4 linked regions of the Arabidopsis thaliana genome follow. The protein of the gene in region 2 interacts with the protein of the main gene of each other region in a pairwise test. Each region holds a gene or a part of one and is shown on either strand. Other genes may lie near its edges. The genes, in order: CID4, PAB5, CID8 and CID7.

The links.
Region 1: the proteins of PAB5 (region 2) and CID4 interact in a two-hybrid assay, tested with the Arabidopsis thaliana proteins (one study listed by BioGRID).
Region 3: the proteins of PAB5 (region 2) and CID8 interact in a two-hybrid assay, tested with the Arabidopsis thaliana proteins (one study listed by BioGRID).
Region 4: the proteins of PAB5 (region 2) and CID7 interact in a two-hybrid assay, tested with the Arabidopsis thaliana proteins (one study listed by BioGRID).

Annotation. Positions count from the first base shown.
Region 1 is NC_003074.8:4,633,934-4,642,653, reverse strand, and holds CID4 (CTC-interacting domain 4), read right to left. Parts: upstream 6,363-8,720; 5' UTR 5,601-6,362; coding exon 5,598-5,600; intron 5,512-5,597; coding exon 5,394-5,511; intron 5,320-5,393; coding exon 5,164-5,319; intron 5,067-5,163; coding exon 4,930-5,066; intron 4,801-4,929; coding exon 4,610-4,800; intron 4,193-4,609; coding exon 4,015-4,192; intron 3,932-4,014; coding exon 3,716-3,931; intron 3,648-3,715; coding exon 3,547-3,647; intron 3,462-3,546; coding exon 3,401-3,461; intron 3,288-3,400; coding exon 3,257-3,287; intron 2,976-3,256; coding exon 2,728-2,975; intron 2,646-2,727; coding exon 2,490-2,645; intron 2,414-2,489; coding exon 2,336-2,413; coding exon of another isoform or gene 2,330-2,335; exon of another isoform or gene 2,257-2,329; intron 2,224-2,256; coding exon 2,119-2,223; intron 1,996-2,118; coding exon 1,963-1,995; 3' UTR 1,528-1,962; downstream 1-1,527.
Region 2 is NC_003070.9:26,989,448-26,996,705, forward strand, and holds PAB5 (poly(A)-binding protein 5), read right to left. Parts: upstream 4,813-7,258; 5' UTR 4,656-4,812; intron 4,161-4,655; 5' UTR 4,043-4,160; coding exon 3,709-4,042; intron 3,540-3,708; coding exon 2,758-3,539; intron 2,663-2,757; coding exon 2,585-2,662; intron 2,491-2,584; coding exon 2,401-2,490; intron 2,301-2,400; coding exon 1,980-2,300; intron 1,872-1,979; coding exon 1,659-1,871; intron 1,561-1,658; coding exon 1,330-1,560; 3' UTR 1,078-1,329; downstream 1-1,077. Other genes in the region: AT1G71760 (uncharacterized protein), read left to right, coding at 1-20, 114-420, 499-723, 808-1,052; AT1G71780 (WD repeat protein), read right to left, coding at 5,959-6,168, 6,808-7,191. UniProt on the Arabidopsis thaliana protein: Binds the poly(A) tail of mRNA. Appears to be an important mediator of the multiple roles of the poly(A) tail in mRNA biogenesis, stability and translation.
Region 3 is NC_003070.9:20,027,609-20,034,224, forward strand, and holds CID8 (CTC-interacting domain 8), read right to left. Parts: upstream 4,012-6,616; 5' UTR 3,636-4,011; coding exon 3,336-3,635; intron 3,060-3,335; coding exon 2,946-3,059; intron 2,855-2,945; coding exon 2,810-2,854; intron 2,733-2,809; coding exon 2,660-2,732; intron 2,562-2,659; coding exon 2,449-2,561; intron 2,348-2,448; coding exon 2,288-2,347; intron 2,208-2,287; coding exon 2,160-2,207; intron 2,052-2,159; coding exon 1,983-2,051; intron 1,859-1,982; coding exon 1,797-1,858; intron 1,715-1,796; coding exon 1,654-1,714; 3' UTR 1,315-1,653; downstream 1-1,314. Other genes in the region: AT1G53645 (hydroxyproline-rich glycoprotein family protein), read right to left, coding at 1-979; AT1G53655 (uncharacterized protein), read left to right, coding at 5,149-5,178, 5,783-5,893; AT1G53660 (nodulin MtN21 /EamA-like transporter family protein), read left to right, coding at 6,370-6,531.
Region 4 is NC_003071.7:11,186,545-11,193,723, reverse strand, and holds CID7 (CTC-interacting domain 7), read left to right. Parts: upstream 1-2,326; 5' UTR 2,327-2,487; exon of another isoform or gene 2,488-2,628; intron 2,629-2,939; 5' UTR 2,940-2,995; intron 2,996-3,103; 5' UTR 3,104-3,144; coding exon 3,145-3,918; intron 3,919-3,999; coding exon 4,000-4,438; coding exon of another isoform or gene 4,439-4,473; exon of another isoform or gene 4,474-4,576; coding exon 4,577-4,647; coding exon of another isoform or gene 4,648-4,653; exon of another isoform or gene 4,654-5,018; coding exon 5,019-5,143; coding exon of another isoform or gene 5,144-5,219; exon of another isoform or gene 5,220-5,286; coding exon 5,287-5,581; 3' UTR 5,582-5,998; downstream 5,999-7,179. Other genes in the region: ARSK1 (root-specific kinase 1), read left to right, coding at 121-256, 588-724, 812-935, 1,021-1,487; AT2G26270 (BRCT domain DNA repair protein), read right to left, coding at 6,065-6,283, 6,488-6,641, 6,821-7,035, 7,125-7,179.

The sequences.
Region 1 (8,720 bases), on a different chromosome or scaffold from region 2:
AGAAAGCACAAACATGCAATTCCACTAACTTGAGAAGGGAAAATAAAACCAACCTTGGAACAGTATTGATCCAAACAACAAGCGAGAAAACAGAACATAACTAAAAAAGAAGAAACAAAAAAAGTATTTAGATTTTTTTCTCACCTATCACCCAAAAATGGTTTTATTTTTCTTCTCAAAGCAGAGTACAAGTAGTCAAATATAGCGACCAAATTTACCAAAAAATCAGAGGGAGAGAGAATCTATGGATTTGGTGAAGATGTAGAAAAAAATCATAAAAGGATGAGATGATGCATGTCTCCTTCCTCAAAACATGGCTTCTTTCTTCTTCTTTTTTTCTCTCTTTATCAATTTCAGCATTTCACTGTCTCTGCAAAATTGAGTAGTATTATTGGCTATGGCTAAAAAGCTTCACCTAACCTTTTTTTTTTTTTCTCCCAGTAGTACCAACTTTTTTGCCACCACTAATTCACCATGAACACTACCTTTTTACCTGGACATTAATTATTATTATTCGTTGTTTACATTATGATTGTGAACCACTCTTGTCTTCTTCCTTTTTTTTTTTCTGTCCTTATTAATTACTACTAGTAACAAATAATGAGTACTCCATTTTATCAACTAGAAAAAATAGTAAACTTTAAGATTAAAACAGAAAAAGTGGGTACAACTATGTATAAAGGCTTACGGTGAGATCAGATTCTGATGAAGTGAAAATGTCCCATTAAAGAAACAAACAGAGACACACATTCTGTGTACCTTGCTTGATATCTTTGTATTCACAGCCGCCACATCGCTGTTCCGAAATCCACGCGCGCGTGATATTCACGTCCGGTGTTTGGATGATGAAACCACGTCGTCACAACATAAGGACACACTTGCCTTTTTGTTTGACCGGACTTTTGGTTTTTCTCGCATGAAATAAATCAGTAATTGCATAACGATGAGTTTTGATAGATTCTTAAAGAGCATTACAATTACAAGTAAGGTATTGTAGTTGAATATTCGTTGTTTTCTTGTCTCATTTCGGTATCCATACTGAAAAGAAAGAAACAAACTTAGCAAATTCATCGGTTTTTCTATCATAGCGGATGACCGTAAAATATGTTAGTTGGTTTCGTGAAAAGTTGTTGAAAATACATCGAAAACATGATTCGCAATTGAACTAAGTGATTATAAGGTAAATTCTAGATGAAGATTGGTGACCCAACATCATTCGTAAGTGTCAAGCTCAAGCCACGGTTAAAATCTCCACTTTAAAGCAAAAACAATAAATGTTGAGAGAGACTCGTAAAAAAGTAAAAAATAAACAACTCAATGCAGTCACCTAACCTAATAATATATGCGACTGGTAAAACTAGGTTTGATTCCATTTTATTTTTTTCTTGTGGAATCTTAAAACATGAATGTGTTGCCCACCAAATCATATACACCGAGTCATATCGATCATCATGATAATAATCGCGAGACAACTACTTATAGTAACGTTTAACGACTTATTGAAAAAAGCATGCCCTACAACAACACCAAAAATGACTAGTTCTGCCTGCTTTGAAATCGTTGTTACTCTTCTATTCTTTTCATCTAAACCGCATCCTTTTTGGATTTTAGATAACAAAATCACCCAGAAATTTAGCACAACACACACAAAAAAATATGCAGACGACGAAGTAAAAGACGCATGAGAGCAACCTACACTCTAAATTTTATATCTCTGATACAGCCAAAAAAAAGGAGAGAGTGCACTCAGTACTACAGACTTCAGATAGATCGTTTTTTTTCTTTCTTTTTTTCTTTCTTTTTGTTTTCAACACGAAATACCAAAATCAGTAGGCGAATCTAAAAAAGAGAAGAAAATGGTTTCAGTGATTGGGTAAGGGAGAGTGGATAAAACCAGAGAGGGGTTCGTACACTTCCTTCACAAAAAAAAAAAACATCATCACCATCGGGTAGTAGTAGTTATTACTCTCGTCCTTTATTATGATATGGCATGTCCTGCAAAACACACACATACAGAGATGAGATTTCAGCATCCAAAAGTTTTAACTCTTCGACTATGTAAAAGAAAAATAAAAAAAGAACAAAAAGAGGGAATCTACTATTAGCAAAAATAATAACCTGCGGGTAAGGAGGAGGATGCATGTAATAAACTGGCCTAGGATGCTGCTGACCAGGTATCATTTGCTGCTGCTGCTGACCAGGTATCATTTGCTGCTGTGGGTACTACATCACAATTCCAATTCCAATCACCATTAGACTTTTGATGTTTTTTTTTTTTTTTTGTGTATGTGTGTGGGAATAGTAATTCAATAGGGCTTGTGTGTTACTGTCAAACCTGAGGTTGTCCATTTGGATGATAATAGGCTTGAGGATGATACATCATCTGTGGTTGGTTGCCAGGATATGGCGGGAGCTGCCAATTTTCACATGGTGAGTTTTGAAAACATAACTCGGTTGGGTTTATATAATATATAACAAACGGAACTTACTCCGTAATTAACAGGCGGCATTCCAGGCATCTGCTGAACAGGAACATGACTAGGACCAGGGTAGTAGAATGAGGCATCTGCGATTGGAGATTGAGGTGGTGCAGCAGCTGACTGCAATGGTTTGAAACTCTTAGCCTTTGGATTGAGTTTGAATTCCTGATCAGACCCAACGACCCATAATTAGTAAAAACACACACACAGTTAACACTTTATCAAGTTTGAACATCAAACAAAATACCTTTGCATTCGGATTCAGTGTGGACTTTTCTGATGAGGCCATAGAACCAATTGACGAGCTCGGTGATAGCCCAGGACGACTTGATGTTGAAGGACCTGGGCGACTTTCTGAACTTCTAGAAGCAGACTGCCCGAAAGAGCTTTCAGATTTTGTTTTACTAGAAACTTGACTGGCTTCTCTTTCTCTCTCAGTAACAGCCTTAGACACCGAGGATGCACCACCACCAGATTTTGCACCTTCTTTGATATCTACATTCCACAATACATATTTACATAAAGCCTACAACCAGTTTCCTAATTAGATGGACGTTTCATAACAGGTCACCACTCCTTGTGTAAAAAAGAACATTTCTAAATTCCATTTAGCAACCTTAACAGAATCCACCATAGATTGTCCATTGAGATAAACGTGATAATAAATTATAGCGTCAGATCAAGAAAAACTGGAGTCATGCTAGTAAAAATGAAAGGTAATTCATCGTATACAACAAGAAAACACGTATGTTAATAAAAATGAAAGTAGCGTATACCTCCATGACCAGAAGTTGATTCCTCAGCTGACTATGTTAATACAGAAGGAAGCCAAATAACCAATGTTAAAAATTATAGAACAACAATGAAACGCAAAATGCAATCATGATTAAACGGCATAATCAACATGGACTTGTCATTACTCTGTTATTGTGTGAAACCTCTTCGTTATTCTTTCTTCTTTGCTCATCTAGCTGGCTCTCACTATTATGCCAAGAGGAACTCCCAATGTGAGATATATTTTAGATGATTTTCCAGATGTGTAGCTTAATTGCAAGAAAAATAAGACCTGATATTGCTGCCTGCGGCAGGAAAATCTTTGGATTGCTGTTTAGAGGTTGAGCAGCTTTGATCTACATTTTTATTTTTCCGAGAAGACTGACTGTCACCCTGAAAGAAAATGAATAGCAACATCACCAACTCGTTCAGCTATTAACTACTATCAAAGACGAACTCACCGATACCCGTAATTCTTCACAGCCCTTGCCACTAGAAGCTGGCTTCTGGCCATCAGAAGTAGATGAGCCACCAAAAGTCAGATCGTTGCAAGTATCCAGCAATGCGTTGTCCTCCAAATCAAACCCACTATCACCAAATCCAGTGACTGGACGGACAGATGAGTATCTGGCTTCCTCGTCAAAATCAAAGTTCTCATTAAGCTGAAGGCCTCTTTCCTGCATGCATGAATAGTTACGAATTTAAACTTATAACACCAAAAAAACATAGGAATCAAGGTGAAATCAAACCCCCAAATTACCTCTGCTACATGAATATCTCGGGTAGTCTCAGCCTCGATCTCTCTCGCAATCTTCTGGGCATGCTCTTCCAACTGTTTAGTCTGAGGACCTCTCTCAAGTCTTGTGGTATAGAGGTCCTCGTCGAAAGTGCTTTTTACTCCAAACAGTGACTTATTCACCTCAAACTGATTCCATTTCCTACAAGCAGAAACGGATCAGCTGAGAGATATCAAGGACAGAAAAGACAGGTAACCACACAGCAAAGATTACTCATATATAAGAAACATAACTATCAAAACAATATTCTTCCTAATCTTTGAGACATTCACCATGGGCTGTTCCTCACAATATAATATATGCTTTCACTAAATAGTAGAATTCTAGCTTTAGATATAGAAAGAGAATTGCTTTCCAAAAGGAATATACGGAATTTCTAAAGTGCAAGCACAAACATAATCTATTCATTCCCACCATCTCTCATCTAAATTGGTCAGCTAAGAAACCGTGATCTGAAAATCTAGCTGACAAATCAACATACCAAACATTCAATAAGTATAAATTTGACAAAAAATTTAAATATATATGTGCGTGTGTGTGTGTGTGTGCGTATATTACCTATTCCAAGGGTTATCAAACACATTCTCCAAATCTGCACCGTGTGGAATAGTCTCATCAGGTACCCAGCGTTGCAGCTGCCTTTCCCGATCAACATGATAAGACTGTGATATAGAAGAGTCTGTCAACAGCTCCGATGGTTTCTCACCCTGAACCGCATTTGACATGTTGTTCGAGGATACAGAGAGATCCTAACACCAAAATCAATGATATAAAGTAATGACAATGTCAAAACTCAAAGTAGTCTCTCTGCAATATAACACATTGACATAAACTTAAAACAATAAATATTTCCCTTCAGTTTATAAAAGCAGGCACACCTTAGCTATAACTTGCACAAGTTCATCTGCCGGAATAATGAATGTCTTGGAAGGCGGCTTCCTGACAAATTCGGAACGGGATTTATGTCCTCGTAAAGTACCGTCTTTAATCAAGCATGCCATCTTTAGAATGATTCCTGGAAGTTTCAAGCAATTTTATACATTGCAAGAAAAAGTAGTGTGAATTTGTATGTGCAGCTCTATAAGGAAAAAAATTCTGATTCAGAGCCTCACCAAAATCCTTCTCTACATTGGCAGCATGAAATATACCGGTATACACTGATCCATTCCTTAGATGCACTTCCACATGATGCCCGATCTTACATGTTGTGAAGTACACTAACCGATCAAGTGAAAGCCTCTTCAAGCTTCCAGCTTCCCCATTGAATACTGAATACATATCAACATGCATGAGGACTCAGAATATGACGTTGCACATAAATCACAGAATATCAACAGCTAACCTGTATTTGATGTATTTGTCTTATGTAAAACTTCCTCTGTTTCACCTCTTTTGAGTGGAAATCCATTTGATGAAGATTTCGACTGAGGAATACTCATTGCAGCCTTAGACTGTTCTAACTAACAAGGGTAAAAAAAAACAGTTATTGAAACCCATGACATTCGTAATTGCTCAACTGACGCAGAAACTATAAATAGAAGGTTACCATTGAAACCGATGATTACTATCTAACAGCAAAATACAATCAGTGAACAGCCTCGCATCGCCATTACAGAAAAATAAACATAAAACAACACTTGCTTGGCTTCATTCATCAAACATGCCGATTAGTCTAGAAAACGTTGTGGATGAAAGAAAGAAAGATAGTGTTGATTTCAACCATTAATCCGCAGCACAAACAATTAAGAAATGGAAACAAAATCAAAGAGTTTTCAGCACAAACAGACGCAAAAAAAGGAAGGCATAACAGTGAATCAAAGATACAATCATCTGCAATCATGAAATAGGATCTCCAACGTATTCGAGCTAGAGCTAGGTATTCCAGTAAAACAAACCCTAAATCATCAAATTCCCAATAACGCGGAAGAATAAAGAAGCAATGAAGATAAACTAAAAATCCAGATATAAGAATCGAAGAAGAGGATATTTACCTCAGAAAGCTAACCCGATCAGAAACCAAAACGCCTCTGCAACACCGATTAAAGAAATGCTTCCGAAAGGAGAGGGACGAGCTCGATTAGTTTCCAACGCAGCGAGTTAGGGTTTCGGAGAGAGCTAGGGTTTACGAGGAGAGAGTGACGGTAAACGATTCACCATGAATCTAAAGAGCGAAAGATAATCGGAGAGAGTGATCGGAGCTGAGCTAACTCTTTGATTTTCCGCAGGAAGCAAAATCATGAAAGGAAAGAACAGCTAGCTACACGAAACAGATCGTTGTGTAGAGTACCAATCACCTACGGGCAAGTGCATGGTACAACTATATTTGGGCCTTAATGGGCTCAACATGGGCTATAAACTGAGTTTGAGAAACTTTATAGGCCTCAACTTTTGAATGTCAAGCTTTTATGTTTTCTTTTTCTGTCTTTTCTTTCTTTTCTTTGATCGATCATTTTACCTTAGCCATTAAGAACTTCTAAATCTTTTAACACACATAAAACATAAAGGATCAAGCCTTCGATTGTAATTTACCTTTATTTCATTTGTGGAAAGAAATCAGCAAGAATAAAGAGTTTTTGTAAAAGCAAGTAACCTGAAGCAAAGGATACTTCAAATTCGAAATGAACTTTTAAAAGGGTATGGTTTGCTTAATGATGGGGATAATGTTAACTTGACTTTCAAAATGGGTTATAATGAAAGTGCTTAAGCCTTGAAGGAGACAGAAAAGGTTGGGGGAAAAAGCATTAATAGGCTTAGTTGGAAAAACAACTCTATAAAGTTTAAATGATTATTTAATAATAACAAGCTTGAATCTAAATATTACATGCTTCATTTGCATGTCTCATCATCACTTGTTTTTATTTTTGATAAAATCACTTTATACCTTTTTTCAGTTTCTAAGGTGCAATATGCTATTTGTCACCATAAAGCTAGGCATAAATACTAATGATCATAATTGATCAAATTAAATATATAATCAGAAAAGCATCACTAGAAAAATACTCCAAAATTACTTAAACATGGATTAGTTGGAGAATTCTGAAATATTATTAAAATGATGAAATACAAAAAAACTGGTGTGGCCAATAAAAAGTATAAGAGTTACATGTATGAAACATTACACTTTTCAAAGTTGTACCTCTCTAATTAGCAATGGAACATACACTTTTTTTTTTTTTTTTTGACAACTTAGTGTCCAGACCACACAGTGATCTGACTAGTCCACTGGGTTTAAGCCCGCGACCAGGAATTTTTAAACATCTACTTAATGGCTCCCTGGAACTGGTGGTCTGAGGCGCTAGAGCAAATCCGCATGTTAATTCTCTGGTGACCAGAAATCGAATCCGGGTGTCGGACGTCTCAGTCGAGGTTCCTTTACCACCAGACCACGATACCTGGTTGGAACATACACTTGAAAAAGATAAGACAGAAATCTTAAGACTATACGAGTATTATGTTCAATTTAACATGGGGTGAAAGAGAGATCATCATAAAGTATTATTTGTAACGGATAGGTCATAGTTATAGCTATAAGATACGAGCTAACATTAAAATGGAAAGAGAAAGAACAATATCAAACAAGAAAACACAGATCATTCACGTGGTATGGTAAAAATTAAATTAATTTATATTTTGCAGTATCGGATCTGATCATTCATTGCTATAAAAACTGTTTTCTTTTGTCCTAATTTAAAAAAATGTTTCAGCTGTATTAGTGAAAAAAATAGAGAAAGCAAGCCAAAAAAAAAACTAAAAACATTAACTACGAATTGTAAAATAGTGTATGGTAAGAAACTCCACAGAGTGTAGTTAATTCTCGCCCGTTGCTTCACGGCGCTCCTGTGACCAAATCTGACATTATATAGACTCGTAAATATTCCTTTTTAGGTTTTTGCATTCATATTTGAATGCAGTTGATTTAAAATAATTTAAACGACTAGTTGCCTCTAAATGTTTGAATAAATTAGGAGTAATTACCAACTAGTAACATTCTGTCACATTTCCCAGAGTCACTGTCTTAAATTATGAAATACTCGTTATTGAGAAAATTGACAGATAACAAAATGGATTAGTTATTTGGTTTCCTTTTTCTTTTCCTTTATTTGGGTGCAAAATTAGACAGCCAAAATCATTTAAAAATGCACGTGTCAATATGTGGCCACACCATGGATATTTTGCACGGCTTCATTATTTCTATGAAAATAGTTTTATTTGTTCTTTTTTTTAAAAAAAAGCAAGAAAAGGGAAAAGAGAATAAAGAAAAAAAACTAGGAAATAAAGAAGAGAATAACATTTGAAATTTTCTTGGTCCGATTTCTTCACTCTCAAAGCAGTAAAATTGAAGAATATACTACTAGTTATGTTAGCAAATGAAATACAAGACGATTCAAAACTAAGTAATTTAATATAAATAATAAATCAAAAGTTGACAAAATGCGGATATTAAAAAATAGCAATAAAGCTGTAGAACTATTCAATTGGTTAATCTATGTTAGTAAAAACTGTGTTACGTTTTTGTTTTTTTTTGGTTTTGGTCATAATAATCCATAAGTATCAAACTTAAAGACGAATCTGAAAATAGCCATTACTGTTTTTTTTTCTCTGAAGAAAAAGAAAAGAGTAGAGCTTTTTTGTTTAATATAGGAATTAGGAAGGAGGAGGAACACAACAC
Region 2 (7,258 bases):
ACGAGTGTTCAACTATGCAGGTATTAAACTCTCTCGCTCCCTCCTCTTCTATCTCTGTCAATTTATATATTGGTTAGTTTTTAGGGATTTTGTTTTGGGGTTCGAATTCGCAGGTGAAGCAGAAGAAGAAAAGTAGTAACAAGTGGGTTTGTGTGATATGCAATCAGAAGCAATCAGTGAAAAAGGTGTTTGCTCAAGGTTATAAGGCTAAGGAGCTTCGTTTCTTTGTCCAATCGTTTAATATGTCTCGCAAAGTTGCCGATGAAGAGGCACATGCTGTTGGAGATTCGTTTCCAGAGGTTTATGTTGAAGGAGAGGTTAATGAGGAGGTTAATGGAACGAAGAAGCGATCTGATTGGAGTCAATACCTCGATTTCGATTCAGTAAATGATCGCCGGAGATTAGCTGGAGAAGAAGACGGTGAGTCTAATTCGAGAATCAAGCATCTTATGAGACAAAATAGATAAATATGTACTTGGTTTTGCGATTTTGTTGCAGATGTGAAGATTGTCACTGAGATGCCAAGCAATATGTTCAAAAGGCCAAAGCTGAACAAAGAGTCTAATGCTGGTGGATCATCATCAAATACAGGAGGTGAGAATAAAGACAGTAATGAGATCTTCAAGCCTTCTTTCTCCAGACGCAGCATCAAAAAGCCGGATTTTCGATCCGGTAAGAGGAGTTCTGCTACATATGTTGGCCATATATCAGCGTTTAGTTCAAGTAAAGCCGTTGCGAATGTTGTTTATTAAAGGCCTGAATGGTTTTACTAAAACAATATTCTCCTATCCTTCAAATGTGTTGCAGATGAAGTAGTGACGAGGAAGAAGGATATGGAAGAGAGGAATCTAGAGTCAGAAAGAGTTACTAAGCCAGCTTCGAAATGGGACGCCTACTTAATCGATGACGAAGGAGAACACCAAGCACCACCGCGATTTGGTGTTAAAAAGGCCTTGAAGGATGACGAAGTAGGAGGATGGGACAGAGCAGTAATGGAGATAAATACGGAATATCAGATAGTAGACGACGAGGTACATCCAGATTTCATGTGATCAGAATGTTTAACCAGAATGCCGATTATTAGATAAAATGCTAAATGTAAAGTTTCTGAAACGAATTTGGAGTTGCAAAAGAGTTGACACATTAAATAGACTCCTAACGAAACTAGAGAAAGTGCTAAAGAGTAAAAGTCTCAATGCTAAGGGAAAAACTCAAAACAATCTATCAAAGAGATGTAGAAAAGAAAAAGCTAGTTTTAAAGGTCCTAAAAGGTATTAAAGCAACTGTCTAAGAAAGCGAGAGAAACATAGTCTTGAGTAAACAGTATGTTCACTCGGATGAGGATAGAGCAAACTGGTCATCAACAGATGACACAGCTGCTGGATCAGCAGAGCGTCTGAGAACATCCAGAGCCTCGGACACTTTAGCCTTAAGAGCTTCAGGTGACTCAAGAAGGTGCAAAATCTCAGCTTGATCCATCTCCAGCAACATCCCGGTAACTTTAGCAGCATTTGCTGGCTCCTGCTGCTCCACAAGTGGGTAAAGATGATCCCCAAGCATCTGTCATCAATTCACAATGCAATGATATTGTTAACAAATATAGGTTATAATGCAAGTACTAAATGAGATAAGAGAAGAAAACACAGGAGATCACTAACCCGTGGGTGTTTGTCGGGGCTAGCCAAAGCCAAATCAGATGCGAGCTTAGAAATGGTGAGGGGAGTTGGCTTGTGAGAGCGTTGCGGAGCATTGTGAGAGTTTGCAGATGCATTCAATGGCAAAGGGATGATGCCTTGTGGAGCAGATGCTTCCATTCCATTCCTCCTGTTGCCTGCGCCTCCCATGAATCTGCTTGCATTTTGCTGCAGCATCTGACAGTTCCAAGATAATAACAAGCCCCAACAAATTCATATTCGTATGATTGTGTTAAAGATAATAAACTTGCTAAAAGACATAAGAACTAATGATAAAAACTTTACTTGTTGTTGCTGAAACTGCTGCTGCATGTTATTAGCACCACGCCTGAACCCAACACGAGGGCCAGGCTGAGTTTGCCTTTGAAGAGGGAAAGGCATCATGAAGTTAGGCGGGCCTGCACCTGGACGCATCCCAGGCATGAACTGAACTTGGTACCCATACCCCATAGGCTGTGAAGGTACCAAACCTTGACCGTTATGGCCTATGAACATTGGATGGTGTGGTCCTGACATTGGCCCACCTGGTGGGTGATGATGGAACCCAGACATCGGTGATGGAACTGGTGACATTGTTCCAGGTGATCTGATTTGAGTAAATAGACTCTGAAACACGTGAAAACATCAAGACAGTTTAAGAACTCAGTGTCACAACACAACACAGTACAGAGTTTGATGTTCAAAGAGTGAGAGGGCTAAAAAGAACCTGAAGGTGAGCCTGTCTTTCTTCCTTACGTTGTGCCAAAGCAACGTAAAGAGGTTTCCTTCCTATCATCTTCCCATTCATTTCTTTCATCTGCGTAATCATCAACCCCAATGAACATTTTAGTACCAATTTTATAAAACATTTATGTATATGTAAAAAGATTGTCAATTCAGTTGAAACTTACAGCTAATAAAGCTTCTTCAGGATTGGAGTAAGCAACAAAACCAAAACCTCTGCTTAAACCTTGTGAATTCATCATAACCTAATTATGACCACAAACAAAACATTTTAATTCATTATATTGTGTGGTATAAACTTATGTATAAAGTTTAGAGATGTTTAGAATCAGAAACAAACCTTGCAGGAAGTCACATTCCCATACTCAGAGAACATCTCCTTGAGCTTCTCATCATTCACACTATCATCAAGGTTCTTCAAATACAGATTCGATCCTTGCAATTTCTCAAACCTGCTTATCCTCTCTTGCTCAAACTTCCTCCTCAATTCCTCTTCCCTATCAGACTTCTTCTGTGCCCTACCAACATACAACACATCCTCCCCAAGGCTGATACCGTTCATCTTTTCAACAGCAACTGCAGCAGCTTCAGGGCTCACAAAGTTGACAAACCCGAAAGACCTCGAGTTCCCACTCTGATCCTTCATCACAACCGCACTAGAAATATCTCCATATTTCCCAAAAGTCTTCTTAAGCTCATCATCAGTAATCTCCTTAGGAAGATTCTTAACATAAACGTTAGTGAAGCTCGGCACCGCACCACTCTCACTACGTGCCCTGTCTTGACGACGGACAAAATGGCCAACAAAGACTTGCTTATCATTAAGCAACATACCATTAAGCTTGTCAATAGCAGCCTGAGCGGTTTCCTCTTTCTCAAACTGGACAAAGCCATATCCTTTCGAACGTCCCACCACATCCATTGCAACCTTGCAAGAGAGAATCGTCCCGAAAGACGAGAAAGTTTCATACAAAGCTTTGTTATCAATCGATGCATCAAGGTTTTTGATGAAAACATTGCCTTTCCCACTCAATCTAGTGCTCGGATCACGATTAGAGAGCATGATCCTTATAGGCCTGTCTCTGATCGGAGCATAGTTGAGACTTTCCATCGCACGACTCGCTGATCCAATAAAAAAACACAAAACTTTAATTACAAAACAGCAAAACAAAACAAAACAAAACAGCAAAAAGAACAAAACCACAAAAGCAAACACATGAACAATATTATATTCCTGTCGTAATCCATAATAATAATATTAAATTCCTGTATGATTGTTTATAATATTTACCATCTTCAGGGTTAGCGAAATTGACGTAAGCGTAACCAAGAGAACGATGAGTCAGATCACGACAAACCCTAAGATTGTGAACTGGAGCAACTTGATTAAAGAGATCCAAGAGATGTGACTCATTGACACTCGGATCTAAATCTCCGACATAGAGAGACGAGTTTGGATGGGTTTGCAAAGCCTCCGCGGCAGCAGCAGCAGCAGCAACCGCCGCAACCTGACTCACGGCAGGGAAAGGAGGAGGAGCAGCAGCAGCAACCGTGGGTTGATTAGGGATCACTTGATCAACCATGGCCGTCGTCGGGGCAATTCCAGATGCAACCGCCGCAGCCATAGCGATAAGATTTCTAGGTTTTTCTAGGGTGAGACAGAGAGATTTCTGTTTGTGGTTTTCCAAAATTTTTAGGGGAGAATATTTATTTTTATATTTTTTCCTTTTTTTTTTTGGGTTACTCCGGTGAATAAGAAGAGGAGTAGAGAGACTCGAAAGGGTGTGAAAGAATGAGAGTTGGTATTTATACATTCGCTAACCAACCGGTCCCTACGGATCAGAGTTTGATTTGACGTGGCTTTTGAGTTTTGACTCAGCTTTTTAATTCACATCTGGGATCTTTTTGTGGGCCAATGGGCTTTTTCTGTCCTGGCCAATAATCCAATGCCACATGTTTTTTTTTTAATGATAATCAATTATATTATATTATAAAAATTTAAATTTATATGATATATAACCATCCAAATACAACAATCATTAAAACAAATAAAGAAAACTGAACACAATTTTGACGAAGAAGTAGAAGGGATCATGCGTTCTAAACGGAAGCCGCAACCGAATGAATCTGTTAAGTCTGCTCTTCATATACTCGCAAAAAACTACGACTAACGTCTTATAGATGAGATCTAGTGCCACATAGATATTTATGTTTTTTCTTAACATCTTATTACTCTACTTTTTTTTTTTTTTTTTCCGTCTACTTCTCCTTCTTAATTATTTTGTTGTTATCGTCATGTCTGTTTTTTTTGTTAAAAGAGGCTTTATTGGTTCATAATTTACACGAAATTTTGATGACTTTAATAATATCATAGAAAGTAAATAAATGAAAGATTATAAACTATTGCTAGAGAGTTTTTTATAATCTTGTTGATTTGTTTTTCACAATCTCGTAAAAAAATTTAAACAATCTCTCGATTTTGATGATACTTTCATGATTTTATTTTGTGAAGAAAAATGTAAAAAATCATAAACCATTAACAGAATAATTTAATTCATTAACAATCATAGATTATTTTGTTTTAATTGAATAACGCAAAATATTTAATAATTTTATAAAAATATAAATCAAATAACTTCAGATTTATGAAGATTTTATATTACTTTTTACAAATTCTAAACTAATAACATCTACAATAGTTTAGAATCTTTCATTTATTCACTTTCAATAATATTATTAAAATCATCAAAATTCTTAGTAAATTAGGAATTCCAGATAGTGTCAAGCAGGATGTTATCAGCAACGTCAACGCAGCCGCGATAAACTCAATTTTATACATTAAATCAATATCAACATATTTCCATAGAATTGTTTAAAACATGAGACAGATTTTTGGTATGCCACAAGGCTAATCTATAGAATTCATGGACAATATTTTGTGGATGAGACAATTTTGATCTTTAAAAAATTCCATCATCAATAAATACAACAGTTGAAATCTATTGAACAGAGATTGCTAAGTACTCGTGATTAATAGAGTAAAATGTCAGACTCTAGTCGACTAAATATTTTCTACCACCAAAAAGTAAGTTCGATATGGGTGATGTTGTCATTCATTTTAGATATTTCTGAAACACTATCTGACATATGTACGAAACTGAGCATGTCATGCGTTACAAGACTAAATTTTCATATTATCAGGGAGGAATGTAGAGATTAAATATGGACAGGCTTGTTGCCAAACTATTGGGTTTTAGAAAATAAGTATCAGTTTCCATCAAAATGGCAAAAACCAAATCGCATTACACATGGAAATGCATAAAACTATAAACTTCAACAAAATGCAAATGAAGAAAATGATTGCTCTCTCTTAGTTCTGAAAGCAAGCAATTTGGCGCCTCAAGGCGTATCAAAGACGAAGAGTCTTGCCAAGGAAGGGAACTTGTTGGGTTAAGGCAAGAGAACCTCTATATATATGGTCGATGAAAGACTACAAATTTCGACCACATTTTAAGCGAGACGAGTGTTAGGGTCTGCGAAACTACCAGCCATACTTCTTGAAGAAGTCCCTGGTTCTCTTTCTAGCTCGAGTGAAAACTATAACTATGCATGCGAGCACCCATGGAGGAAAGGTCCCAATGGAGATGTTGTTCTTGATCCAAGCTGGAGGGTCTTTCAATAGAAATGTTATTAAGAGCGTAACAATCACAACTCCGAGAATGATTCTGGTGATGGGTTTGAGCAGGGAATCCTGAAAACAAAAGGTGTTCAAATTAATAGTGTTATCAGATGAATCACCCAATTAAAGCTGCATGTTTTAATGCTTTTTTTTTCTGTTCTTGCAACAATATTATCCAAAGACTTTTTACGCCCCAACGAAGTCAGAATACCATGACATCCATTCTAGTTTCTACATGCGTATTCTAAATCTATGAGCCATAGGAGTGATTCCAAGAAATTGTTTACTTTAAGTAAGAATACAAGCTTTGACCTAAACCTAAGGTTCCATGAGACACCGAATCCACGTTAATTGATATTCCAGGGCAATTGAAGAGTAAAGAAGCCTAGAAAGTCTAGAGACATGTATGAGGTTTATGAGCACAATCAAAAGAAAACCATCAACTTATCTAAATGCAGAACGCCAATGTAGAGTAATTCTACAATCCAAGGGTATGAAGAACATGTAAAGGAGACAAGAAGCAGATTGGGTCCTATCCTATTCCTTAATCATGCGTTCAGAGAAGGTCCAACAGATGCAATGCAACAATATTCACCGTGAGTTTATTCATTCAAGCATCAGTAGGGAACTATAACTAAGCTAAGGAGATCGTTCTCTGTCCTTTTTTCCTATTGCGTAAGTGAAAACTCAAAATCAAAACAATCAGATTACCTGAGGTTCACCGTCGATGTAAATGACGGCACCATCCCTATAAGGCAACACAGACCGACCATTCCTAGGGTGAAATCTGATCGGAACAGCACGACCTTTCTCAACGTTGAAAGCGAAGATTGCTTTCAAGCCATATTTCTCAAGAATAGATCGAACCTCGAGCTGATCCTGCTCATAACCGCCGAGATTTGACTTGAACACATCGATCGGACCTTTTCCACACTTATACAGATGAATCTCCACCTCAGGAACCTTCGCCGCCGCGGTCGTCGATCTCAATTCACTTTCCGGTTGAGAATTTTCGAGCAACGGAGTAGTCTCTTCAATCTCTTGATGTGGTGGTGGTGGATCTCTCTCCTTCTCCTTCTCCGTCATCGATGACATGACTAACAATTCACCGTCCGATGGAAAAAAAGATTTATAATCCCAGGAAAGCAAAAAATAAATATTC
Region 3 (6,616 bases), 7.0 Mb from region 2:
CACCTTCTTCTTCTTTCTTATCATCTCTCCATCCATCACCACCTCTTCCTCTGCCTCTCCCTCTTGCTCCTCTTCCTCTCCCTCTCCCTCTCCCTCCTCTTCCTCCCACACTGCTTCCTTCAGCTTCACCACGCGAAAGCTCACTCCTTGCTCTTCTTCCAGCCTCTTCCGCACTCAATTGCGGCTTAGGAGTTCCATCTTTGACCGTTGGAGCCCGCTTCTGCTGAGGTTGTACTCTCTGCTGCTGCGGTGGAGGCGGAGGGCGTCGAATTTGGCGGTTATCTTCTTGTCGGATTGGAGCAGATTCCACAAGAGGCTTTCCTCGACCTGCTCCACTAGGATGTGAAAATTCGTTTCCTAATGCATTGAATATGTTATCAGGTGGATCAGCTTGACCAGGTTTAGACTCTGGTGGTGGTGGAGACGAAGTTGCGTCCTGCATCTCCTGCAGCTTCACAAATACAGGACTTCCCTGAGATTCATCATTAGGCTGCTGCTGTGGTTGCGAACGCGGCTGCTGCTGTTGTGGTTGTGAACGCTGTTGCTGCGATTGAGACTGTTGTTGCTGCGGTGGAGGCGGCGATTGGCGAGGAGGTTCAGCAGCGAAAGGTGAAACGGTGTCTGATCCAACGGATCCTCTTCCACGGCCAATACTAGGAGAATCTGATTTGACAAATGACGTAAACGCAGGAGAAATCGAATCAGATTGGATCGGACGACCACGACCATGACCATAACCTCCGGCAGATGACGGTTCACGTCCAGGAACCACCGGTTCACGATTTACACCGAATTGTCCTCTTCCAGCGGCGGGAAATCCTCCATCTTCACCGGAACCGCGTCCACGACCACGGCCGGAGGAGTCGGAGGAAGAGGAGAAATGAGATGTGGATTGGGTGAGAAATGGAGTTTGTTTGACTAAGGATGCAATGGTGAAGCCATTAGGGTTTGAGAATCTTCTTCCTATAGCACTTCTCATCTGTGAGATCTCTTCAAATTTCAAGAACTTTCGTAAACACTGGCGATTGAGGATTTGAGGGTTTTGAGTTACTGTGTTAATCGGAAAATGGGGGTTTTCCGAAACGTCGCCGTTTCTGTTGACTTATTGCTGCATATTTGTAAATTCATCCCTGTAGTTTGAGTACCTGATGGGAAGAGATTTATACTTTTCGATTTGTCGAAATCCCCCATAGTTATAGACATTAGGCCAAATTCAAGCACATTACAAAGAAAATGATCCAAAATTTAATTTTGCAGTTCCATCCCTGGATTTTGATACCTGACGGAAAATGAAATATACTTTTCCATTGACCCAAAAACTCCTATGAAGAGAATGATTATGCCAAAACTTAAGCGTTCAACACTTCAACATAAATAGTAAAATCTAAAATCTCCTAAATTCTAAACTTTTTTAGTTAAGAACCAACAAAAATGATCAAAAAAAAACCTTTAAAGAAAGATGATATGACTCAATAAGTCAAAGAACTCAGAACAAGAACTCAAAATCCAAGAAGCATGTTCATGGTTGTTGTCTTTCCAGAAACTACATAATTGGAAAACAACTGCTCTAGAAAAAGAAAGACAACTGAAAAAGAATAAATAACTGAATATTGTTGCATCACTCTCCTTCATCAACAAAGCCTCTGTTTTCTCCTAGTTTGGCGATGGTGATCGAGTGATTCGCGATCTCACTGGTGTCTTTGAAGGGCTTACCCTGAAGAATTCAAAAGATTTCATTTCAAATTGTTTTTATATTCAATGAAAGGTTTGTCACAAAAGAGAAATAATGTGTGTACCTTATCGGCTGAGATCCTAAGACTATTCCGCTGCAGTTTAGCGCTGCAACTGCACTCTCTGCCTTTTTATCCCGTAAACAAACGCATATTCAGTTGTTAAGTAAAAACTAAGCCTTGAAAAGTTCAGCTTTACTTGTTAACACTAACAAAAGAGGACACAGAAGCTGAGTTTTAACAGGAGTTTACCATGGCAAATTCAACAAAAGCTATGCGAGTAGAATGCACTTGGTCACCAAGAAGCCTTAAGCGAGTAACCTGTACAGAGAGAGAAGATAGAAAAAAGTTGAATGTTATTGTTGTTTTACAAATTTCATATTATCTTTATGAGAGCAGAAAAAGCAAGTTTTCGGATTCTAGACTGACCTCACCGCAGGCAGACTGAAAGAAGGTATTGACATCATCTTCAGTGGCCTGCAATTTATAGGAATCTCTCAAATCCGAGAACAAGTATGCAAACGCAATCTAAACTTTAACGGAGAAAAAGTATTTACATTCTTGTCAACATTTGTGCAGTAGATGGTCCTTGAACACATCTCTCTTTCATCTTCTGACTGAATAAAACACCAAAGGAAATAGTGGAAACCATCATTTTTGTTTCTAAAACTGTAAGCTACTATGCAGGCTGAGAAAAATGGAACTTCTTGTTTTTTACCCTGGGGAGAAATGTGGGATTCACTGGAAGAATAGCAGTTTTTGAAGGTAAGACTCTAACTGGGTAATATCCGATCATTGTTCCACCAAGACTTAAAGCCGATCGTGCACCTTCTGTTTTTCAAAACAAATTCATACTAATGTAACTCAAACTTGACACTTGAATTTTGTTTGTAAAGAAGATTAAGTAAAATCCAATAGCTTTAACTTACGGTCATCAGAAAACTCAACAAACGCAAAGCGAAGAACTGAATTCGGATCCCCGCAGATTCGACAATCAACAACCTTCAGAAGAAGAATGTAATATTAATTAACAAACAAAAGATGAAAACCGGTAACAAAGCTTATAGATTTCAACTTACTTGTCCACAGCTGCTGAACAAGCCAGCAAGGCCTTCCTCAGTCACCTATTTGAAAAAAAAAAAAAAAAATAGGTGACAATGTTGAAAAACTGAATCTTTTTTCTGAAAATCTAAAAAGAGGGTTTAAGTAACTTACACTCTGATCAATGTCAGAGACATACACTGTTCTTCTAATACTATCTTCTCTTTGAGCCTTAGAAGCTCTTCCAGGTAACCTCACTCTCCTCCCTTGGTTATAGTTGTTTCTTCTCTGTAATCCACAAAGCCAAAACAAAAAACAGACAATTTACCAAAACTCTTAATGAAATGTTAAGTAACGATCATATAAGAGTTGCAAAACTTGACAATGTAACTATTAGCCAACCAAACCAGATCAAAAAACAAAACTTTCTATATGAAACTTCAAGCTAGAGACTTTCCAGCACAAAGACCTAAACCCACTTAGAATGAAACCTCATTTAGAGGTCAACCAAAAATCCAAACTTTACCAATCAAAATATAATCAGAAACAGAAGAGAGATTGTACCCTCCGGTTAATGGCAACCTTTTTGTTGTCTTCACCAGATGGCTTTATAGCAATCACAAAATCGTCAGACTGATTAGTATTCCTCTTGTAAGAAGGGAAAAACTCCTTAGCTTCAGGATTGAGTTTCTTGAACATGGCAACAAGCTTCTTCATTTGATCATATTCCGGTTTGGATTTGGGTTTGAGGTCATCCGATTCGATTTCCGGTTTAGAATCCGTGCTCTTCTCAATTCCGTCTCCAGTTCCACCATCGTTGATTACGTCATTTGAATCAGTGGCCATCTCAGTGATCGCAGCCATTAATTAGATCAGAAAATTCCAAAAAAATATAAAACAACAAAAAGGATCACAATTCAACAAAAAACAAGAGACAGAGGAAAGAAAAAGTTGCGAACTTTTCCTTCTCTCTTCAGTCGAATTTCGTAAAAAAGATGCAAAATTTGATGAGATTAATCGAGTTTTATTGAACACCCATTTCAGAATACGAGAATGCTTAATCGTAGACAATATATAAATCTAGTGCGGTGGTTTCAGAAGGTGGCGATGGATGAGAAGAAGAAGAAGAAGAAGGAATGATGGGTTTTGGTTTGTTGCTTAGGCCTTTTTCTAGCTCAATCAAATAGACCAAAACTCTCTAACAAGAGTGCTTCTCTTTTTTTTCGGACTAAGATTTTTTTCTTAATTAATTTCGTCAAATGTAAAATTAAAAAGAAAAGAAAAGTTATGATTCTTTATTATTTTATGTTCCTCTTGAGGGCCTTTAGATAATTACATATTTTACACATACACCAGTTTATTACATTTTTTATATTGAAAAAAATCTTTAGTAGTTTTAGTACACTTTTTTTGCTAAGAAATATATTACACATTACTAATATTATTATTTAATATAATTGTTAAAATGTTATTATTTTTGTTATGGATATTAGATAGGGTGTGGTCTTTCATATGGACTGCATTGAAATGTGTTATTTTTTAGATACTGTTAGTTTGACACATCAACAAAATTTTGATTATTTTATAAACTTTTATTTTCTTCATAATTGCAAGCAATTGTTATAATAATTAGTCCATAAATCTTTGGATTCGTTGGGGGATTTTTTCCTTTTTTTAATATATTTTTTAACTATTGCTGGGATTTTATAGTTCCACTTTTATAATCTGCTTTTATTCTATTTTGTTATTTTATTTTACATTTCAATTTTGGTTTGCAGTTACTTTTGTATTGATATCCCTAATAACAGTAACCACACAACAATATGATAATTTTCTGGTTTTTCTAATATAAAATTTGAATGGTTTCTCGTCAGGAAAAAAAAATACAAACAAAAAATGTAAGACTTTGCAACGATGTATTAAGTGTGTAATTTGTTTTGCATTTTTTTATTGTTGCATAGAAAAACTATCAATTTCTTACCAAAACTCAAATTACAAATTTAGAGTTTTCATAAATTTAAACTCACTTCACTTCTTCAGATTACGAGTTTTAGTGTTTAAAATTAATGAGTTGGTCTATAAGAGCTTCGTGTGTTGGGGATTTGAAAAGATTAACCAAAGCTTTGTAAGAATTTTGCACCCAAAAAAAAAAGTTTTTGTAAGAAGGGTGAATTAGCTGTATAGCCATATTAGGACAAAAAATTAAAAATATAGCCATATAATTTACGTAATTCAGCAAGTAACCAAAAACTCTAACTAATTACAAGTCTATCCCTGCATTATTTCCTTATTTTCCAATTTGCCATGACTCATCATCTTCTTCGTTTTGTTGATCAGATATTGATCTAAAGGTAATATTCTATATGTTCTAAAGGTAATGGATTGTGAATCAGATATTGATTTAAAGGTAATGTTTTTTTAACAGACCTTTTTCATTCATCATCTTCTTCGTTGCTTCTTCTCTTCTCTCCATCCAACAGAAAATTTCCAGAAAATTTAAATTTTTTATATCAATCCATTCTAATTTAAAAACATCTATTGATTTAAGAAAACTAAACCCTAAGATACTATATATGGAACCCAAACAAAAATAATTAAACTAAATGAAATCATCTCAAGTTTCAGTTTTTAGAAATCTGACAAAATCATGTTTATATACTTTTAATCTCTTTTCTCCTTTCCTAAAGCGAATTGAAATCGATTCGATTTTGGGTTTAAATTTGTGTTAAGGATTTTCAATTTTATATATTGATCAAACCAGAAAATATTCAATAAGATCTTGTGAGTCTTCGTTTTCATTTTTTTTTTGTTCTAACTAGCAAATAGAATGGTACAAAATTGAAAGTAAAATAGAAAACTATAGTTCGGTTCTGTTTTAATTAAGTTAAAGTAGAAAAAAAAGATGAGAGGCGAGAGAGGTGAAACAAGCAATGGAAGAGAGGAAGAAGTGATTAAGGTGGTGGTGGTGTGTATGGTGTAGGTCGTAGTAATATTTGTGTTGGTGGTTGCAGTGGTCGTGTGTCAATTGCGGCGGCAATAATGGTGATGATGGTAGAGATGACAGCGTAATGGTAGTTTCTATGGTGGTGACGATTGCAGTGGTGATGGTGATGATGGTATGACATTTGTGGAAATAGTGGTGGATGCAATGATGATGACGGTTACAAGGGTAATGGTTGTAATAGCATAGAAGAGATGGTGATTGTATAGTTAAGGGTACTTTAGTATATATTATAGTTTATATACAAAATGTCTCTGTTTTTTTTGTTGGTTAGTTTCTTAATTATAGTTTTTTTGTTAGTCAATTTTGCAAATTTCCCTTTTAAGAATAATGATATATATAAAAAAAAAATAAAAAAATAATGATATTATACTGGGCTTTAATTTTACTGGTCAACAAAAGCCCATAGTCTCTCATTATGTGTTTATGACCCGTGTACCCGACCCATCTTTATAAATTAAAACGGATTTCGTAGAAAAGAAGTTATTTAAAGAGGGATCCGCTAATTTCTTCGTTACTTTTAGTCAACTTTAAAGAGTTTGCTTAGAAGATGGAAAAGTGAGGTACTATTGAATATTCAAGAAGAAGACATACCAAATGAGAATCGCAATATCTTTTGCTGATTTGAGACCAAAACGATTGTTGACTCTAATGGCGGATCGAAGTCGGATCAGAGGCTTTCTTAGAGAAGAACATGTGACGTATGCTTCCATTCTTCTCTACATCACTCTCTCTAGCGGTCAAATCTTCTTCAATAAGGTTTTAAGTCAAATCTCACATTCATATGTTATTGGATCTATGTTTTCTATTTGCAGTCTTTTTGCTCAAGATTTGATTTTATTAG
Region 4 (7,179 bases), on a different chromosome or scaffold from region 2:
CTTAATTAGCTATATGAATCTGGCCATTTTTCAGTATGTTATTAAATATATATATCTTTTGTGAAATTTCTTCATAAAGTTTTTTTTTTCAGTGTATACAAAATTTATTTTTGTTTGCAGGCGGAGATATTATTTTTGGGACAACTAAGTAACAAACATCTTGTGAAGCTGATAGGGTTTTGTTGTGAAGAAGAGCAAAGAGTTCTTGTTTATGAGTACATGCCTCGAGGTAGCTTGGAGAATCAGCTCTTTCGAAGTACGTCATCTACTATATTTTTACCTAACTTGCTAAAAGTTGTTTCAATTTTTGCTATATATGTTCTAGACCGCGTTACAAAACATTTTTTCTGTTTAAACCTAAAAGAACAACTCCACGAAGACTTTAATTACGTTTTAGTTATAGAATGACAAGAATAAAAAATATTGAAGAAAAGAATCCATATGGTTCACGTTAACTTCGTCAAGTTCTTACTTTATTTATGGGTCGTACACTACATTAATAACTTCTTAAAAAACTATATATTTTTTATAATTTAGATAATATTCAATAGTATTACTAACTTTGAAAAGTGTGTGAATTGGGACAGGAAATAGCTTAGCAATGGCTTGGGGAATAAGGATGAAGATAGCTCTCGGAGCCGCCAAAGGTTTAGCTTTTCTCCATGAAGCAGAGAAACCTGTCATCTACAGAGACTTTAAAACCTCTAACATATTGTTAGACTCCGTGAGTTTTTTTTTCCTTTTTAAATTTTGTATCCACTATTAAATCAAATTAAAGTGGTATTTCTCAACTGACTCTTTGATATTTCAGGACTATAACGCCAAATTATCTGACTTCGGTCTAGCCAAAGATGGACCTGAAGGCGAACATACGCATGTAACTACCCGAGTGATGGGAACACAAGGTTATGCTGCGCCCGAATATATCATGACTGGTAACATTTTTGTAAGGAATTTATTTCTTTTACCGTGAAGCGATATTCTTTGAGATATGTCTTTAATGGTTTACATGTGTTGTAGGTCATTTGACGACGATGAATGATGTATACAGTTTTGGAGTAGTTTTGTTAGAGCTGATAACCGGAAAACGGTCAATGGACAATACCCGAACACGGAGGGAACAAAGCCTAGTGGAATGGGCGCGGCCTATGTTAAGGGACCAAAGAAAGTTAGAGAGGATAATTGACCCGAGGCTCGCGAACCAGCACAAAACAGAAGCGGCTCAGGTAGCTGCTTCCCTAGCATACAAGTGTCTAAGCCAACATCCTAAGTATAGACCTACAATGTGTGAGGTGGTTAAGGTCTTAGAGTCTATCCAAGAAGTTGATATTAGGAAGCATGATGGCAATAACAACAAAGAAGGAAAGAAGTTTGTTGATATAAATAAGTTTAGGCATCACCGTAAAGGCAAAAGACGTGTGAACATCGCTTATTCAGATTCTCTCGTTTACAAGGAATCCAAGGCAAAGCAAAACGATGGCATTTGAAATACATCATTTTCTCATATGAATTATTAAGCATTCATATTCTATGAACGCAATTCTTATCTTAAGTTATGACCATTCTTCCAAAAATTTGAAGGAAAGAAAGGTGATGTTATAAGTATCCTAGTTCTCTGGTATTTTAGATTAATTTCCTTTACATAATTCAAAAATACTTTGTACAAAAGAGTCATGTACAAGAAATATAAAATAAATGTTTGTAAATCATATATATATACACCAGTTTGTTGGGCGGACAACGTTGAAGTTATTTCGCTCTTTAAAACATAGTAGATGATCACTTGGTTGGTTATTATGGAGATTGGAATTGCAATAAAATCAAATCATGTATGGTACGGCAGCTACCCCTAGATTATTCTTGGTGATTCCAATGAAATTATGAGCTCCTCGGAGCACTCTCGTTTTCAAGATTACATATGAAACCGTTTGGGTATATTTGAGTTTCAGAATGCTGTATAAATGTAATAAATTATTAAATTTTTATATTTATTTTATCTATATCAACAATAAGTATACTTTTTTCCCTAGATGACTTAAATTCAAAGCAAATTAACAATAACAATCAGTTTGAAGATTATTTTTCCTAAATATAAATATAATTGTATAAACTTTAATTAGATTTTTAAAATAATAAGCTAATTCAGGATATTCAAAATATATAGAGAAATCTTATTAAAAAAAAAAATTAGTTGAAAGGAAATAGTTAACCTAATAAAAGCAAGTAATCAAAGCCCAAAAATTTACAATTAAAACCCTTAGTGATAAGGATTAAGTGTCATTAGTAGTTAATAAATAAATGTTGTAGATAGATGGAGTCACTAAAAAAAAAAAAGGTCAAAACGAGAGGCGCAAGGTTTGGTGTCTTGTTAAATAAATCTTGTGGTGCTCGTGTTACCTCTTTAGCCAAACAACACCCCCAAACAATTACTCTTATAGAGAGAGTAGAAGAAGACGACGCTTACCCCAAAACTCGAATCCCTAGGAGGTAACAGCTTAAGCTCTCCGATTACCCCAAACTGCAAAATTTCTCATCTTTCTCTCTCTTTATCTTGTTTTCAACAGCAGCCTTTACCTTTTTCTTTTAACCTCTGATCTTGTTATCTTCCATGGATCCATTTCCTTAAAGGTTTGCTCTTTCTTTCAGAGATATTCTTATCTCTACGAATCTCATCTTGATTTGGGTTCTTCTTTTTTGTGTGGTTTAATAAATCACAAATCTGTTTTTTTCTATCTTGGATTTACTTAAAAATCTTGTTTTTAATAAAGGGTTTTCTTTTATTTCAGTCATTTAAAGATACCCTTATTCTAGAATTTAGTAGTTGTGTTTCAAATTTTAAGTCTTTATGTGTTTGTCTGGTAAGAACTATAAAAAAGCTGCAATGGGTTTTGACTTATGAGTTTGTAGCCACTGAAAATGTATCTCTTTTTCTTGTTTAGGTTTTGGTAATATGAATTGAGAAGTCCACGCACGTGTGTATCTCTATTACCGTCAGGTGTGTTACCTTTCTTCTCTGAGTAATTTGTTTGATTAAAGCAAAGTATTTTGCAGGTTTCTTCTTTGAGTAATTTGACTTAGAAAAGCCAAACTCTTTTTTTTGCAGATTTTGGTTTAAAAGCAGTTATTTTTACTAGTCTTGTAAGAATGAGTTTAACAAAGAAAGCAAGTGAACCAAAGCTAAGTGGTACTAGTATCAAGCCAACAACTTTAAACCCTCATGCTGCTGAGTTTGTTCCGTTTACTCTACGTTCTCCTTCATCTGGAGGTACAAGTACTTTGGATACAAGACTTTTAGCTTCTTCTAGTTCTGTTGGGAAAGCGGTTTTGGACAGGACAGAATCATCTGCGTCACATCATTCAGATGAAGAAGCACGTCAGTTCTGGAGTCATCAACTTCCTGATGATATAACTCCAGATTTTGGGTTGATGACTCAAGATGACAATTCTTATGGATCTGGTAGTTTGTCACTAGCTAACTTGTCGTTGTTTGACGGTAATGAAGCTGAGAAGTTTCCTTCTGCTAGTGGAGGATATGGCTTTTCAGATCAAACTGGATTAGCTTCACATAATGCTAATGGTAATAGCTTGGCTGATAAGAGTAGATATCCCATTTCTTCATTTGGGGAAGATCCTCAGCGACAGAGTTTCATGCAACTGAGTCCAAAGCCTTGGGATAAGCAAATCATGAATGCTGAGCAGCTTCTTGGGAATGACAGGGAAAGAAACCCTTTTAGTGGGAAATCTCGACATGGCTTTGTTAACGACATGATTACTGAGAGTCCAGGGGATATGGAGGTGAACCCTGTGGATTTTCTCGCTTCTCAGTTCCCCGGATTCGCCGCTGAGAGTCTAGCAGAAGTTTATTTTGCTAATGGGTGTGATTTGCAGTTGACAATTGAGATGCTTACTCAGCTTGAGGTATTCTCCTATTCAATATATGGCATAGCTTTTATTGATGTTATGTTATTAAATTCTATGTTTATTTTCTTCTCTGTATAGCTACAAGTGGATGGTGGCTTGAATCAAAACATAAGCCCTAAGACTTATGCTCCTCCTAGTCTAACTCCAATGGATTTTCCTGCACTAAGCATCTCAAATAGCCATGGTATTCCTGCCCAGTTTGGTGGGGATGATTTGCAACAAACTGGAAATCATTACCAATCTCCTGAAAAGGATAACATGTTCTTCTTCAAGTCGGGACCATCGGTTTCTCAGCCTGGTGCAATCGATTATGTTTCTGCTGTCAGGAAGTTAGCATCTCAGGATTCTGGTATGTGGAAATATGAACGAAATGATTCAGCAGACTCATCTATTGGCTCTAGCAGGAATTCTGGTGCTTACAAAAGTGGCCGTGGGAGGAGTATATATTCTGATAAGCTGCAAAGTCGAGCCCAAACTCGACCTGCTCCTGTTTGGGTGGAGACCGGGGATGCTGTTGGTAAGTTTCTTCTTTTAACAAACTTTATTGCATAGACAAATAACTATATGAGTCTTGTTATACATCTGTATTGAACATATGTTATCTTATTCGACGATGTTGCATTTCTGGCTCTCTCTTTTATCTGGGGATGAACAGGCAATATGTATTCTGAGTTACGCGAGGAAGCACGTGACTATGCACGTTTGCGGAATGTGTACTTTGAACAGGTATAATATACTTGGAAATGACATTTTACTCATTTATGTGGCCTCTAGTTGTTCTGCAGACCTGTTGTTTTTTGCAACTGGGAAGTTCCATTTGGTACATACCTGTCTATTAATGTTAAGGCCGTGTAATGTGGCCTAACCTTGAGGTCTATTGTCCAGATTGATTTTTGGAAAATACTTCGGGTGTATGGCGTAGTGAATCATAAGTATTTGGAATCTTGCGTGCAATTTATGATGATAGTTTATAAAGCTTTTTGTCAATGATGGGGTTTTCACCGGTTTTATTACTTCGACGTCATCTTATTAACCTGTTATCTTTCTGTCTTAGTCATGTACGCTCAATATTCTATGTTGCTTCTGGTTGAGCGTAGGCACGACAAGCATACCTTGTTGGGAATAAGGCCTTAGCCAAAGAGCTAAGTGTTAAGGGACAGTTGCATAATATGCAAATGAAGGCTGCTCATGGGAAAGCTCAAGAAGCCATTTACCGCCAGAGGTTTGACTTCTTTACCTGCACTGCATCTCCTTGTAACATGATCTTTTATCCGAAACACACACTGATATCTCCATAAATGAAAAACAAAACTCCTGTTCTCAGTATCTCTGTTCTAACCTGCCTATGAGTAAAAAATGAAACAGGAACCCAGTGGGTCAAGGAAACAGTAGAGGGAATGAGAGAATGATAGACTTGCATGGGTTACATGTGAGTGAAGCACTTCAGGTGTTGAAGCACGAACTGAGTGTGTTGAGGAGCACAGCTCGAGCAACGCAAGAGAGGCTTCAGATTTACATATGTGTAGGGACAGGCCACCACACAAGGGGTTCCCGCACTCCGGCTAGACTCCCAGTTGCTGTACAGCGCTACCTACTCGAAGAAGAAGGTCTTGACTATTCCGAACCACAGGCCGGTCTCCTTAGAGTCATCATATACTGACAGACAAAAGCCAGGTACTTATATAGGATACAAGACCGGAAAAGAAAACAAAAAAAAGGAAAGGTGACCACGCTATTCATTTGTTGTATCTGATCTGTACATGGGAAGAGAGGAGAAAGAGACTAGCTGAAAATGAAGAAGGAAAAAAAAAAGTGTTAGGAAAGAGATCCGCAAGAAGGAAGGAACGAAGGCGTATGCATAAAATGTTTAGGTTTGTTCAGTTAATACTTTTTGTAGCATCAGAGGATCGATCAGACCTCTTTCTATCTTTTTGTCGGGATCTATACGATGTTTTGTTGATTCTCGGTGCTTTTTTTTTTTTACAGTTTTACTCTATATGTTATACTCCTTTCTTCTGGAAATGCTTATATTTGTAATTCTCTTAGATTTAATGTGCATCACTAAGTTACAAATTCATGAGTCAAAAAGTAAAATTTTGTACTTTAAAAAGCTTGTTTCCAGTTATGTATTGTAAAAGAGAAATCAAGCTCTAATCATAAGCTCATAAACATTACTGTTGTTCTCTCCATTCACTCGCTTAAGCATTTCGAAACTTTTCCTGCTTCCTAATAACTCTATTCTTGGGAAAACCAAGCATCCTTCATCTGATGTCTCTTTGCTGCAATACACTGTTCTGAGACGGTCAGCGTGCCTCGAGTCTGTGTGAATTGCAACTTCTATTTCATGATCCGGCAAGTTCTCCTGCAGAATCAATAGACACAAGAGATCTTCTTATTGTGAACTAAACGGTAACATGGGCCTAGTGAGTCAACAGAGATAGTATAAATACTAATCACTCATAAGTTCCTAACTAAGACGAAGAAATTGATTCTAAAGACTCTCCTTTTCATAGCAACTAAAAGGAACTGAAACGAGAAATTGGCCATTCGAATATGATGGTTATACCTGGTAAAATCTGTAGATATAGTCTAAGATTTGCAGGCAAGTGAAACCACTATCACTGAAATAAGTCCGTGAAGAAGGTCCCATCTCCGAGAACCGATCAGCTGGATATAGAATTGTAAGGAAGCTGTCTTTAAATATCACTTCTGTCTTCTCACTGCAGAAGAGCGCCCAGGAAGAAAAAAAAGATAGTTGACCACAGTGAGATATTTCCAGGATTGCAACAATGGCAGCAATAGATAGTAGTAGACTATCACTGGAACAATTTACTTCTAAAGTAGCCATGTAAAATCTAAAAAATGAAGGAAAAGAGATGTACGAAGAACGAAACAGTACCTCTCGGTTAGTGCTCTGGTTGAATTTGAAAAAGAAGCCACTGGATCTAACCCTTTATCTATCCCATCTTGTACAACAGAAGGCTGGGGTTCACTGATGTCACGACTGCTGCTGTCAGTAAAAATAGTGGCGGCTGAAGCTGCTTCAGATATTGTCCAGCAAATATTGTCCAGCAGGCTGTACTGTGTTATGCGTCTTATTGGGTTTTGGCAAGTCTATGGGACATCCAGAAAGAGAACAGACAAATTCAGACACTATGGTGAATTTAAGACATCAGGGAAGAAAGAGAAAGATCATCAGTTACCTGCATATGGCGAGCACGTCGTCTCCTAACCCCCGTTTTAGCTATATTTACAGTC